3 linked regions of the Lytechinus pictus genome follow. The protein of the gene in region 2 binds, or shares a complex with, the protein of the main gene of each other region. Links are inferred from orthologs where the notes say so. Each region holds a gene or a part of one and is shown on either strand. Other genes may lie near its edges. The genes, in order: small nuclear ribonucleoprotein-associated protein B'-like, serine/arginine repetitive matrix protein 1-like and small nuclear ribonucleoprotein E-like.

What was found.
Region 1: serine/arginine repetitive matrix protein 1-like (region 2) and small nuclear ribonucleoprotein-associated protein B'-like share a complex: the UniProt entries of both Homo sapiens proteins name them as parts of the minor spliceosome. The link is inferred for Lytechinus pictus from reciprocal best matches to the Homo sapiens genes SRRM1 and SNRPB.
Region 3: serine/arginine repetitive matrix protein 1-like (region 2) and small nuclear ribonucleoprotein E-like share a complex: the UniProt entries of both Homo sapiens proteins name them as parts of the minor spliceosome. The link is inferred for Lytechinus pictus from reciprocal best matches to the Homo sapiens genes SRRM1 and SNRPE.

What each region holds. Positions count from the first base shown.
Region 1 is NC_087246.1:62,261,010-62,264,765, reverse strand, and holds the start of small nuclear ribonucleoprotein-associated protein B'-like, read right to left. Parts: upstream 2,648-3,756; 5' UTR 2,544-2,647; coding exon 2,541-2,543; intron 1-2,540. Other genes in the region: negative elongation factor D-like, read left to right, coding at 2,895-2,942. UniProt on the Homo sapiens protein: Plays a role in pre-mRNA splicing as a core component of the spliceosomal U1, U2, U4 and U5 small nuclear ribonucleoproteins (snRNPs), the building blocks of the spliceosome.
Region 2 is NC_087248.1:16,740,767-16,744,522, reverse strand, and holds the start of serine/arginine repetitive matrix protein 1-like, read left to right. Parts: upstream 1-947; 5' UTR 948-959; coding exon 960-1,106; intron 1,107-1,693; coding exon 1,694-1,816; intron 1,817-3,603; exon of another isoform or gene 3,604-3,653; intron 3,654-3,756. UniProt on the Homo sapiens protein: Part of pre- and post-splicing multiprotein mRNP complexes. As a component of the minor spliceosome, involved in the splicing of U12-type introns in pre-mRNAs. Involved in numerous pre-mRNA processing events.
Region 3 is NC_087263.1:5,426,970-5,430,725, forward strand, and holds the start of small nuclear ribonucleoprotein E-like, read left to right. Parts: upstream 1-1,542; 5' UTR 1,543-1,657; coding exon 1,658-1,705; intron 1,706-3,756. UniProt on the Homo sapiens protein: Plays a role in pre-mRNA splicing as a core component of the spliceosomal U1, U2, U4 and U5 small nuclear ribonucleoproteins (snRNPs), the building blocks of the spliceosome.

The sequences.
Region 1 (3,756 bases), on a different chromosome or scaffold from region 2:
CATATTGGTAAAGTAAATAAATAGTGCATAGCAAACTCAGATAGATGTACAAAACAATTGTTTTTCATTTCTTCCTCTTTGAATCCTAAAACCTAGATTATGCAGGCCCCAAATCCAGTTTATTTCTGTTTTCTCTTTTGAAGCATATTATAGCAGGAGAAAATCACATAAATATATGCTGCAAAATTAGAACAATGCATAAAAGGGGGAAACAAATGAAAATAATTTTCAAAAAGTATATTACAAAAAGAAAACAAAAATAATAAAAGAAATAAGTGAAATAAAACAAAAGAAAGAAAATGAAGAAAGAAAAAACAAAGAACAGGGAAAAAAAGAAAAGAAAAAATTTAGAGAGAAAAAAAAAAAGTGAAAGAAAAATGAATAAAACAAACTTAATTTAAACATGGGGAAAAGGGGAAAATTAAGAAGCCATTACGAATATTTTTTAACAGCTGTGGCAACAGTCTATTCTGACTGGAATATAATTAAAAGCCAAGCAAATAATGTTCACTTACCTTCTGGGAATGGCACATTTCTATTTTTATATCCTTTAGTTTATTTTTTTTTCAGTAGAAACATATTTTTTAATCAGGCATATTCAATGGGAAGGGGTATAAATGGTTTAACCACTGTAAAAAAAATGATAGAAAAAAAAATAAGAAGAAAACAGCAAAAGTTATATCTGGAAAAAAAGTGTGAGAAAAGTCCTTCCCTATATTTGCCAAAATGTTGGAAAAATTCACATTTCATATCAATGAAATGCCTTCCCAAAGTATTTACTTTCTCAAGAGTGGTTTAAGAAGTCATTTATAAACAAGAAAGAAAGAAACTGTCTGTTTATTTTTGGCTAGAAAAGACACAGCTTCGAAAGAAACCAAGTATCAACATACATACAAATGCACATGTGGGACTGTGATGTACTTGCCTATGTGTTTTTATGTGTTTTAATTCATTTGGAAATCGGTCTTTTGTAGTCAAAAGAGAGGTCATAATTCCTCTTCTTAATGCTTGCAAATAATCAGGGTACACCAAATTTTCGTAATATAGACTGTAGAATGTCATTTCATTGGTGTAAAATGTGACTTTGACTCAGATTTTCAAAGTTCTGTGGAAGATTTCTTAGCAGCAACATTTTTTATCGGAGCTCCATCTAGAGCACAGCTGTATGCAGTGGCTTCATGCAAAGCTCACGCCAGCCGGCGTGGCTGGCTGGATAATAGCTACTGTATGCTATAGCTGTAGGCCTAATATGCAAACTTTGTGTGTGTGTATTTGTGTGTAGATCAACAAAAAGGGCGCATGACGAATTGGGTTGCAATTTGAACTGTAGAAAGTTGATAAATGCGTGCAAAATCGGGAGAAAAGTTGCGCTTCTTTGAAAATTATTGGTTGTCCGATTCGGGCCACCAAAACTTAACATTTTATCAATAATGGTTGCCCGAGGTGAATTTCTGGTGGCCCCAGGCCACCGCTAATGTCGAGCCTTGCATATATGGACAGGGATTCAAGACTCCACGATGAAGAAATATATGTCAAAATATTAAAAAAAACATCATCATCATGATCATGGAGTCCTCAAGACTACATGTAAGTAGATCCTAAGTAAATAAATTCTGTTTACCATATTCTTCCAATTGTTTTTTATGACATTACTACAATTCAACATTCATACCACAGAAAACATAGATCCTACATGAATTATATTTGATTCAATGATTGTATTTTTGTTTTGGATCAAATGACTGAATAAAATGAACTGAATTGAATATAAATTAAAAAAAATAAAAAGTGTGGATATTTGGGCACTTTACTCTACAAGTTACAACCATTCCCGATCGCGATATTCAGAAACGCAGGGGCATATTGACCTCAAAATGTGACTGAATTTACTTGCCATGACAATTTTGCAAGCAATTTCTGACTCGAAGTCGGCCAGTGTGAAATTGCATTGGCGCCGTAACATCACAAAATTTGTGAAGAATTAGATCAAGTGCAAAGTTCAGTTTCAGATTGTTTTATAATTCTTTACAACACATACAATTTTGAAATTTAGTCCAACAGTTTTTTTTTCAAGCTCCCGAGGCTGAGCTCCACAACTCAAAAGCCAAAACTGGATTAAAATACAATACAATGAATTAATACAAGTTACAAGAATCAAGATCAGAAGATACCAAAATTCTTTCTAACAGTAACATTAACAAAGTTAACGTGGAGCTCTGCGTTCCGTATCTGGCTTGAATTGGCCAAGTAAGGTAAGGAATGCAGAGCTCTACGATTTAGAGCCATATTAAGTTGAAAAACAACAACAGCTAATTTGTTTTCAACGACTTCACAAGTCTCTATGAAAGCCGAATCAATGCCATTTTTAGTTTCAAAGAGAAAACCGAAACATACACAGATATGTACATGTGGGACACCGTTTTCGAATACACACATCCCCGCAATAAGTCACAAATTGTGAGCTTCATTAGATAAATTAAAATAAATCGTAATACATTTCATCGCATATATGTATATTATTCATATAAATATATAGTTACCATTTTGAAAGATTGTTATAGCCCCGATGTAGAAGGATATTGACTGCTTTCGTCGACCGTCACAAACATTCGCGAAACGACACGCTCAGCTAGCTGGCTCGAGCAGCGCGAGCATATATGCAAATATATGACGCCAAACAGCACGCGCGGCGCAATACGGAAATTAAACCAATTACAGAGTCCGTCTCAGACCCCATCTTTGTCAAGTGGGAATTTACAGACGATTTGATTGGTCCTTAAGCACAACAAAGATGGCAGCGCCCATGGCCATACTTTTCTACGTTGTCGATGTCTTGCATTAGGACTCTATAGGAGACTATTTTATCAGTTCTAACTTCATCTCTTGAATTGAAAATGGATGAAGACGAATATGGAGATGTTGACTGGAACTATGACCAGGCTGTACGTATGCTTAGTAATTCTTTTTAGCATTGTCTCATTTGTCTGGGTTGGGCGCCAACTGCACTCCGTCTCCATACCAGCCGGCGGGCGCGCCGGGCCCGCGGACTTTGCCCGTGCCTGCGCCCGTTCTGCCTGGCTATGGCTATGCCTATGGCTATGCCGCTGTTCGGTAAACGCGGTAGCAGTGCCAGTGCTGAGGGTTACGATACCTCGTCCTCGGGCGAAGTTCGTGCAGGCTCCACTTCACTACCACTGACCACTACGCTACGAGCGTAGTGGAGCGGAGCCTGCATGAACTTCGCCCGAGGTAAGGTCGGATTACCAGTGGCAGTGCTGAACTTAGACAGCTGGCAGCCCTCTGTTTCGAGGAGTTTTCTGACACTTTTAAAATTATTTTTTTTAATTTCTCCTTATTATACACAAACGGCTTGCTATCCACTCTAGGCGACACCCCAATACTTACCCGTGCTAATAAACTGGGACTCCACTCACGCGCATTTGGGCCGCCCTAGCTTAGAACTAAGCTTTGTTTTACTAAAAAATAAATCTTGTAATGATTCAATAAATGTTACTTAATAAATTAGTACTGTTAAATCGGTACTCACCGGTTCTTTTCTTGAATTTTCTGGCAATTTCCCACGCTTCTGGCTTCAATTCTGCGGCTGTTCCTGTCGCGGTAGACAACTACATATGCAACTTTATTTATAAATAGAGCGCCCCTTACGATAGTTGTTAAGAACGCGGCCAAATTGTTAGGTTTTTTGCACTGTGTCCAAGGCGTTTTTATTTTGTTTGATTTTTTATTTTTAATAAA
Region 2 (3,756 bases):
GAGGAAGAAAGCTTAAACTATTATCATAAATAAATTATCAGTTTCGTTTTGGCTCAATTAAAATATAGCTACGAGAGAAAGTCAGAAACCAAGTGTATCAACACACACACAAATGCATGTGGGCTATCATGTATTCAGACGATATCACTCGAAACCCGATCTGTTTGAACTAAAACAGAAGTGAAAATTTCTCCTTTTACTGCTTACAAATGACAGAGTTACCCCAATTTTTAGGAAATATGGACATTATATAAATAAGAGCCTTTCATGAGTGTGAACTGTGAATTTTGACAGTCCTGTGAGAGATTTCTGCCAGAGGTTAGCCAAGCTTCGTATGTGCAGCCAGTAGAGAATTTACCATGTGGGTTGTGTGGCTGGCTACATGTACACTGTATGGTAACATATTAACACTTACATGCGATTCATTTTGTGTGTATTCTGTGTGTGAATGACAGAAATTAACGGGAGGAAAATGGTTTGCAATTTGAGTCATGGAATATTTTTTTATGTTAATGTTGGACCAGTGAATTTGACCATTTCTGGAAAAAGTTACTGGTCCAACAATGGTTTTTATTACTGGTCATGTCGGACTCATAAATCTTGCTATTTTGGAAAAATTACTGGCCCGGCAATGATATTTTTTTACTGGTCATGTCGGACCAGTACATCTTGCTATTTCTGAAAATCTACTGGCCCGACAGCGATATTTACCGGTCGGGGACCGTCGAACCGGCGCAAGTTGCGCCCTGCTGTACAGCACCATTAAAATTGTGTTCGGGATACTTCATGAGAAGTCAACGAGCGGCATATATGGTTTTTTTTCACTTTAACGCTTACATCCAAGGTATTATCAGTTCTTTGCTCCACATGGCTTCTGGTGGGGCTCGGTGTAGGTGAGCTCTAAATCAGTAAAAGTGCCGGTTGACATTGGTTATCAGTTTAACATTGAGAATCAGTTCATGATGTCTGGTACACAAGTAACCTTATTTTTCTCTACATTCTCCAATTTCTTACAGGGCACCAGTGCCGACCAAGACAATCGCTTCACAAATAAGAAAAAGAAGCTGTTGAGATCGCTCAAGTTCAACCCTATTATGGAGAGGAAGGTATGTTCTGAAGTATTATTCACCTACATGTATTAAGCTGGGGGGGTTATAAAGAGGCAAGATTTTATGCAACTGGGAAGAAGCCACCTCTTGGCTTGGTGTGTCTATGGGGTGTTGCAAGAAACCTGCGATCAATTGTAAGTCTATTTTTGACGCTACATCAATTACTTGGCTTGTAGTTAATTGCAAATTAGTGATTGATTGCTAATCTACTCCTTGAAACAAGTAGTTTAATCCGATTTGCTACAGCTAACGTTGATCTATCAGTTGTAAAATTGCAACAGAATATTTGCAATTGACCGCAAATATTTTCTTGCAACACCCCCATCCGCAAAGTATACAGTTATTGCTCTGTTCATCCTGCTGTCTCTATGAACCAGATTTGGGAATTCATTCCAACCAAGACTTGTAATCTTTAGAAATGTAAACTTATAAAATATCAAGTATCTAGTAGTAGTGACGGGAAAATGAAAAGACTGGTTGTTTGAGAGGTGTTTGCCAATCACTTGATCTCTGACTCCGACCATTTGCAATGGGCTGTCCCTATTCCCTTTATTTCATCAATTCTGTTGTTCAATTTTCTCTAGGTGAGCATGAGTAAGGTCAACTTGGATACACTAAAACCATGGATTACAACGAAAGTCACCGAGATGCTTGGAGTGGAAGATGATGTCCTCATTGAGTTCATCTTTAACCAATTGGAAGAAGAAGTAAGATGTCGCCTTTTCTTTGTCTAGATTGTATATAGTCAACTCTGTGTTAAGGTTAAATTGATTGATGTTTTAATCATTGTACTGGTCAATATTTTGTGGTCATTATTTCATAGGTCAAGTGTATAGTAGCCATGGTGAGAACTCATTAGGTTTTGTCATTGGTATAGGTCATCTTGTGCAGGTATTTATAGATTGCTTTCTATGCTTTTCGATAAGACACATTTTTATTTTAAGTTGAACTACATTTAAGTATGCTGTTCACAACAAAAGAGTAGTGATGTTTGTGGTATCTTTAATAATGTGCGACTGCATGGCCTAAGGTAGCTAATAATAGGTAAGCAAAAAAAGACGAGGCAGAGCAAATGGGATCTTATTCAGGTAGGAGGAATAATGCACATCCAGGTGGGTGTTTCACAAAGATTTAAGTATGACTTAAGTCGCACTTAAATGCCGACGCGTACATGATATGCAACGGGCGATCTTTTTGATAGATACACAGTAGTGCGCTTCCTAATGACACGATCTGACCAATGCGGTCAAGCCTTTCATACCGTACGCAACTGGGTGTTTAAGGGCGACTCTAAGTCATACTTAAATCTTTGTGAAACACCCCCAGGAAACATAACATAAAGCAAAGCGATTGGACGTGGAGCTGATTTAATTTACTGACTCACCAGACTCTAGACTCAATGCTATCAATTGTAGACAGCAGCCCTGTGATCAGTTGCTATAAAGCTTTATGTTACCGGGCCCAGCAAAGGAACCTACTTCTTGCGTGAAGTGTCCAGTGGAATCCTCTCCGACCCCCTCCTCCAACATAGTGATGGTTAATTATTGTTAGACAGGACAAGCTTTTAAAACTGATGCTGATTACAGGTAAGTATTCAGTTTTGAATTCAAGAACCTTTTGAGGAGATTATATATAGAAGTCTTGATTGGTAGGTAAAGGCTTTTGAGTTCTTGAGCAGTTGAGCTACATGTACACAGATTTACTATGTATGTAGCACTTTTGGCAAGACCCGATTGTCATGCAATGTTTTGCACTGATAACGGGAAATATTAGTGCTTCTTATTGAGTATCTTTGTTTTAATCCTACTCAAGTATGATTTTAGATCATTTTGCCAACCAAAATGATGAATTAGTTTAATGCTGGCCCACAAAATTTACTCTATGAAAAAAAAGACGAAGTCAATTAGCCCGTTGGCAGTTAAATGAGCCGTCACATGAACTTTTCCCTTTTACATGCAGTTTGTAGTGGTAGGTAATGATGAGATGCCACTGGAGAAATATTCAACAAAAGGTAATCTGAAGAAAAAAAATAGTTTGTCTTGTATTAGTATGTAGTATGTTATTTTTCTATGATTTTGTGCTATTATAACACACTGACCATTAAAAATCAGAATTAAGAATGTTGCTAGATGAATCTTATAATGTACCTATTATGTACAAAGAGATTCATTTACTTCATGGACCAGGCGATTGAGACAAGTAAGTAATACATAACTTTAATGTTTTCATCAATTTTTGAGTTCTTACCATGCTACTATACTTAATACGTTATGAGCTGATCAGATTATCTATGTGACGACAATAAAATTTAAGAAATTTGGAAATTGTGACCCCCCACCGAATAAAAGAAAGAAAAATAATTGTTTTGAAGAAAATATAATATTCTGATTCATGATTAATTGTGTGTGATTTGCTCATAACTCAATGGAAGTTTCCCCCCTTTTATATGTTTTCACATTTAAATTTTATTGACATTTTGATGATTTTATTTCAGGATTTAGTTTCATTCCCTCAGACTGCAAGAGACGGTAGAGTACATTAATAGTATGTCCAATATCAGCAAAACAGTATGGCCATCTGTAATGAAATAAAATCATTTATGAATATAGAGCTTTACACAGAATTTGGTCTTAGCATTTCGTCACAG
Region 3 (3,756 bases), on a different chromosome or scaffold from region 2:
AAATTCCTGAAGAAAAAATTATGACAGTGGATTTCCATATAGTTGAGATTGATTCGATCAATCGTAACTCTTTGTAAGACGGGGCCCTGATGTGGAAAACTATGCACAGTGCTTCGCAGCAATTGTTCGCAGTCTTCTGAATCAGACATATATTGTTACATTTCAGACTCATTAAAGCAAAGGGGAAGTTCACCCTGACGAAAAGTTTGTTGTAAAAATAGAAGGAAAAATAATAAAAAGATATTGGTGAAGAAGTTATTAGAATTTCAAGTTTTTGATTTTTGACGTCATAAACGAGCAGCAGCCCATATGTTATGTAATATAAATGCTTAAAGGAGAATGAAACCCTTGAAACCAGCTGAATCCATATCAAAGAGAAAAATCAAAGAAACATATTGTTGAAAGTTTGAGGAAGATTGAATGAATAATAAGAAAGTTATGAGCATTTGAAAATTGAGATCACTAATGTCATGTAGATCCTCCCATTGGCAATGCAACCAAGATCTGTGATGTCACACACGTACAACTCCCTCATTACTTTAGTACTTATTTCACTTATATTCTCACTTTTATAGAGTCTATCACAAGGTGAGGTGTTCTCTTTATGAGAGGACAAGTACAGAGGTTTCACAACATTATATCATTGATGAATCGTTTGTCATATGATTAGAATGAGCAAAAAGAGATGTTTTGGGGTACATTTTCAGTGTCCAAAAGGGGAGAGTTGTCCAGTTTTGGACACTGAAAATATACCCCAAAACATCTCTTTTTGCTCATTCTAATCATATGACAAACGATTCATCAATGATATAATGTTGTGAAACCTCTGTACTTGTCCTCTCATAAAGAGAACACCTCACCTTGTGATAGACTCTATAAAAGTGAGAATATAAGTAAGTACTAAAGTAATGAGGGAGTTGTACGTGTGTGACATCACAGATCTTGGTCGCATTGCCAATGGGAGGATCTACATGGCATTAATGATCTCAATATTCAAATGCTCATAACTTTCTTATTATTCATTCAATCTTCCTCAAACTTTCAACAATATGTTTCTTTGATTTTTCTCTTTTATATGGATTCAGCTGGTTTCAAGGGTTTCATTCTCCTTTAAATTTCACATTTTAATGGTTCGTAATGACTTTTTCTTTTCTTTTTTAGGAGTGGGTGGGAAATCATGTGTTTATTAAATACATACTGAAGATATATAATTTGTCATAAAAACCATTTTCAATTTTCAGAGAAAATGAAATTTCATTGATTTTTTACCATACAATATGTAGGAAAGCTGCTCGCATATGATGTCACAAATCAAATAATTTGAATTCTAATGACTTATTTATTCTTTGATGGATTTTCCTAAAACTTTTGCCAATATAAGAAGAAGAAGGAGGAGCAAAATTGGATTAAGAAGAAGATGGAGGAGAAGGATATGGGGTAGAGAAGGAAAGGATGAGGGATATAAGAAAATCTCAGTTGAACTCATTTTATCTTTTTCAGTCAGGACTGAAAAACATATATGTCGCCCTCTAGCGCTCTAGCGAGGGACAGTTTAGTAATAGCTTTTGACAAAACACATGTGAACGCGATCTCCACGAAGCGGGAACGATTCTGCATTGTTTGTTCTTATTTCATCGATCAGATCTAAGCTGTGAAAATGGCGTATAAAGGGCAGAAGGTCCAGAAAGTGATGGTCCAACCGATTGTATCCTTTTAAAGAACTAATACATGCTCCTTTTCTCGTTATAATGTATCTTAATGTGTGTTTGTTTTCTGTTGAATATGAAACTGCTCACACTTACACTAACGTGTGGGACTGAAGTTAAATTGTGGTTGCATCTGCTGTGCGCTGTGTAGCGGAAAACAAAAGTCGGACTCAGTCTCAGAGTCAGAGGTCGGACTAACTTGATAATAAGACTAAAATATACAAAACAGATTTTCCTTTCCTTTTTACACAGCCCCCCAACATTGATCAGTATTTTAGTAACTTGGCCTGGCCAACAAATTTATTAATGGGGGTTGAGATTAAAAATGGGGAAAGGACATTTTGGTGAGTGACGTGACTGGTTTGCTTCGACTTTGTAAGTTCCACTAAGTTACATTGTTAAAAAAATTTGTTTCTGTCGACATGATCGATGTCTGATAATTCCTCATTAAATTCCCTTTCTCTTTCTTTGTGTCGGCCTTCCATCCTTGTGCTTGTCAAGAGACGTTGATAAGTCAATTCATTCAATTATTTATGGAATACATTTATTTAATTTTACAATTCATTTTTTTGTTACAAAAAATGTAGCATGTAACTGTGAGTCCACAGTGGTAAATCGTCCATAGACTTTACAACGGATAGACCGTCTCGGCTCAGCGAATCGGAGACCGCTGATTGGTCAATCGCGCAGATCACGTCATGACTACGTGGTCGCCAAAATAATTCCCTCGGACTGCGTGCGAAAGTATCGATAGCGATAACGATATCCGGTCACATTGTTTACGCGGGAATTGGTCTTGGTTTGCGATCGGATCGCTCCAGTATCGATTGAAAATTATCGAGACACGGCAATTTCATGCAAATTCACGCGACGCTCCGAAACCCGGAAATCAATTGACTTTGTGCACGTTGCGATAGACTCTACAAACTCCAACGAACACAATGCCATATCGACGCCAGGGGTGTGAGAGTTCAGATTTTAATCTGATTTCAGATATTTTTGTTTTGATTTCCAGCTTAATTTCAGCTTATTTTTGGCCTTCCTCTGTACAAAAAGTATGGGAGCTCTTTCTATTTCAGACTTTTTCAACACTTCAGCTTTTTTCAGATCTTTTTATTTGTGACCACTCACACCCCTGCGACGCTAATTCGTAAGATTTTGACGGAAAAGCAAGAAGTAATCGAAATTCGCTTACCTGTGCGGTATCGGTGAGAAAAATAGATCCTCCGAGAATACCTTTCATAATTCATATAAAATATAGGAAAGGGAAATTCTAGGTCGATTTTTGTACGAGGTGATAGAGAATTGCACACTTGTTTTGGTGGAATACTGTGTGGGGCAATGGAAGGCTTGCACTGCGCATGCTTACTATATTTTCATTCATAAATTGGCTATCGGCAGTGGCTAGATGACGTCATGTAATAAGCAAAATGTACACGCCCGCTAGCGTTGAACGCATCGCTATCCGTTCTACACAATTTGCCACTGTGGAGTCTCAAAATTGGAAAAATATGGAGGGAGGCATATGTTTGGAGTTGGGAGAGCGAAAATAAAATGTTAAACTAGTCTGGAGACTGATGCCAATGTACATGTCCCAATCTCATATCTCTCCGGTGAGCAACAAAATTTCAAATGAATGGTCCTGGGGCCGATTGCACGAAAGGGTCTTTCCAAGGACCGTCTTTCGTGTCGCCCATCTTTTATGATGCGCTATAAGCGGAGTGTTTCTGAAATTTATGATAAACAATACAATTCGTAAGCTTGCTTTTAAATAAAATTTTATACAATTTCATGAGATATCACATCATTTCATAAACTAACATTTTGTTTATTTTAACGGATGAGTAAAATATGTTTGCAGATAATTTATTTGAAATGCGTTTCACATGGCGCATCATAAAAATTGGGCGACAGGAAAGACGGTCCTTGGAAAGACCCTTTCGTGCAATCGGCCCCTGAACTCCTGATAGCTTCAGTCTCTGTTTGGTGATTGGTCAGTTCTGCTGGACTATGTGATGTCGTTTAGGGGGGAAAGAGAAGGAGAGAGAGG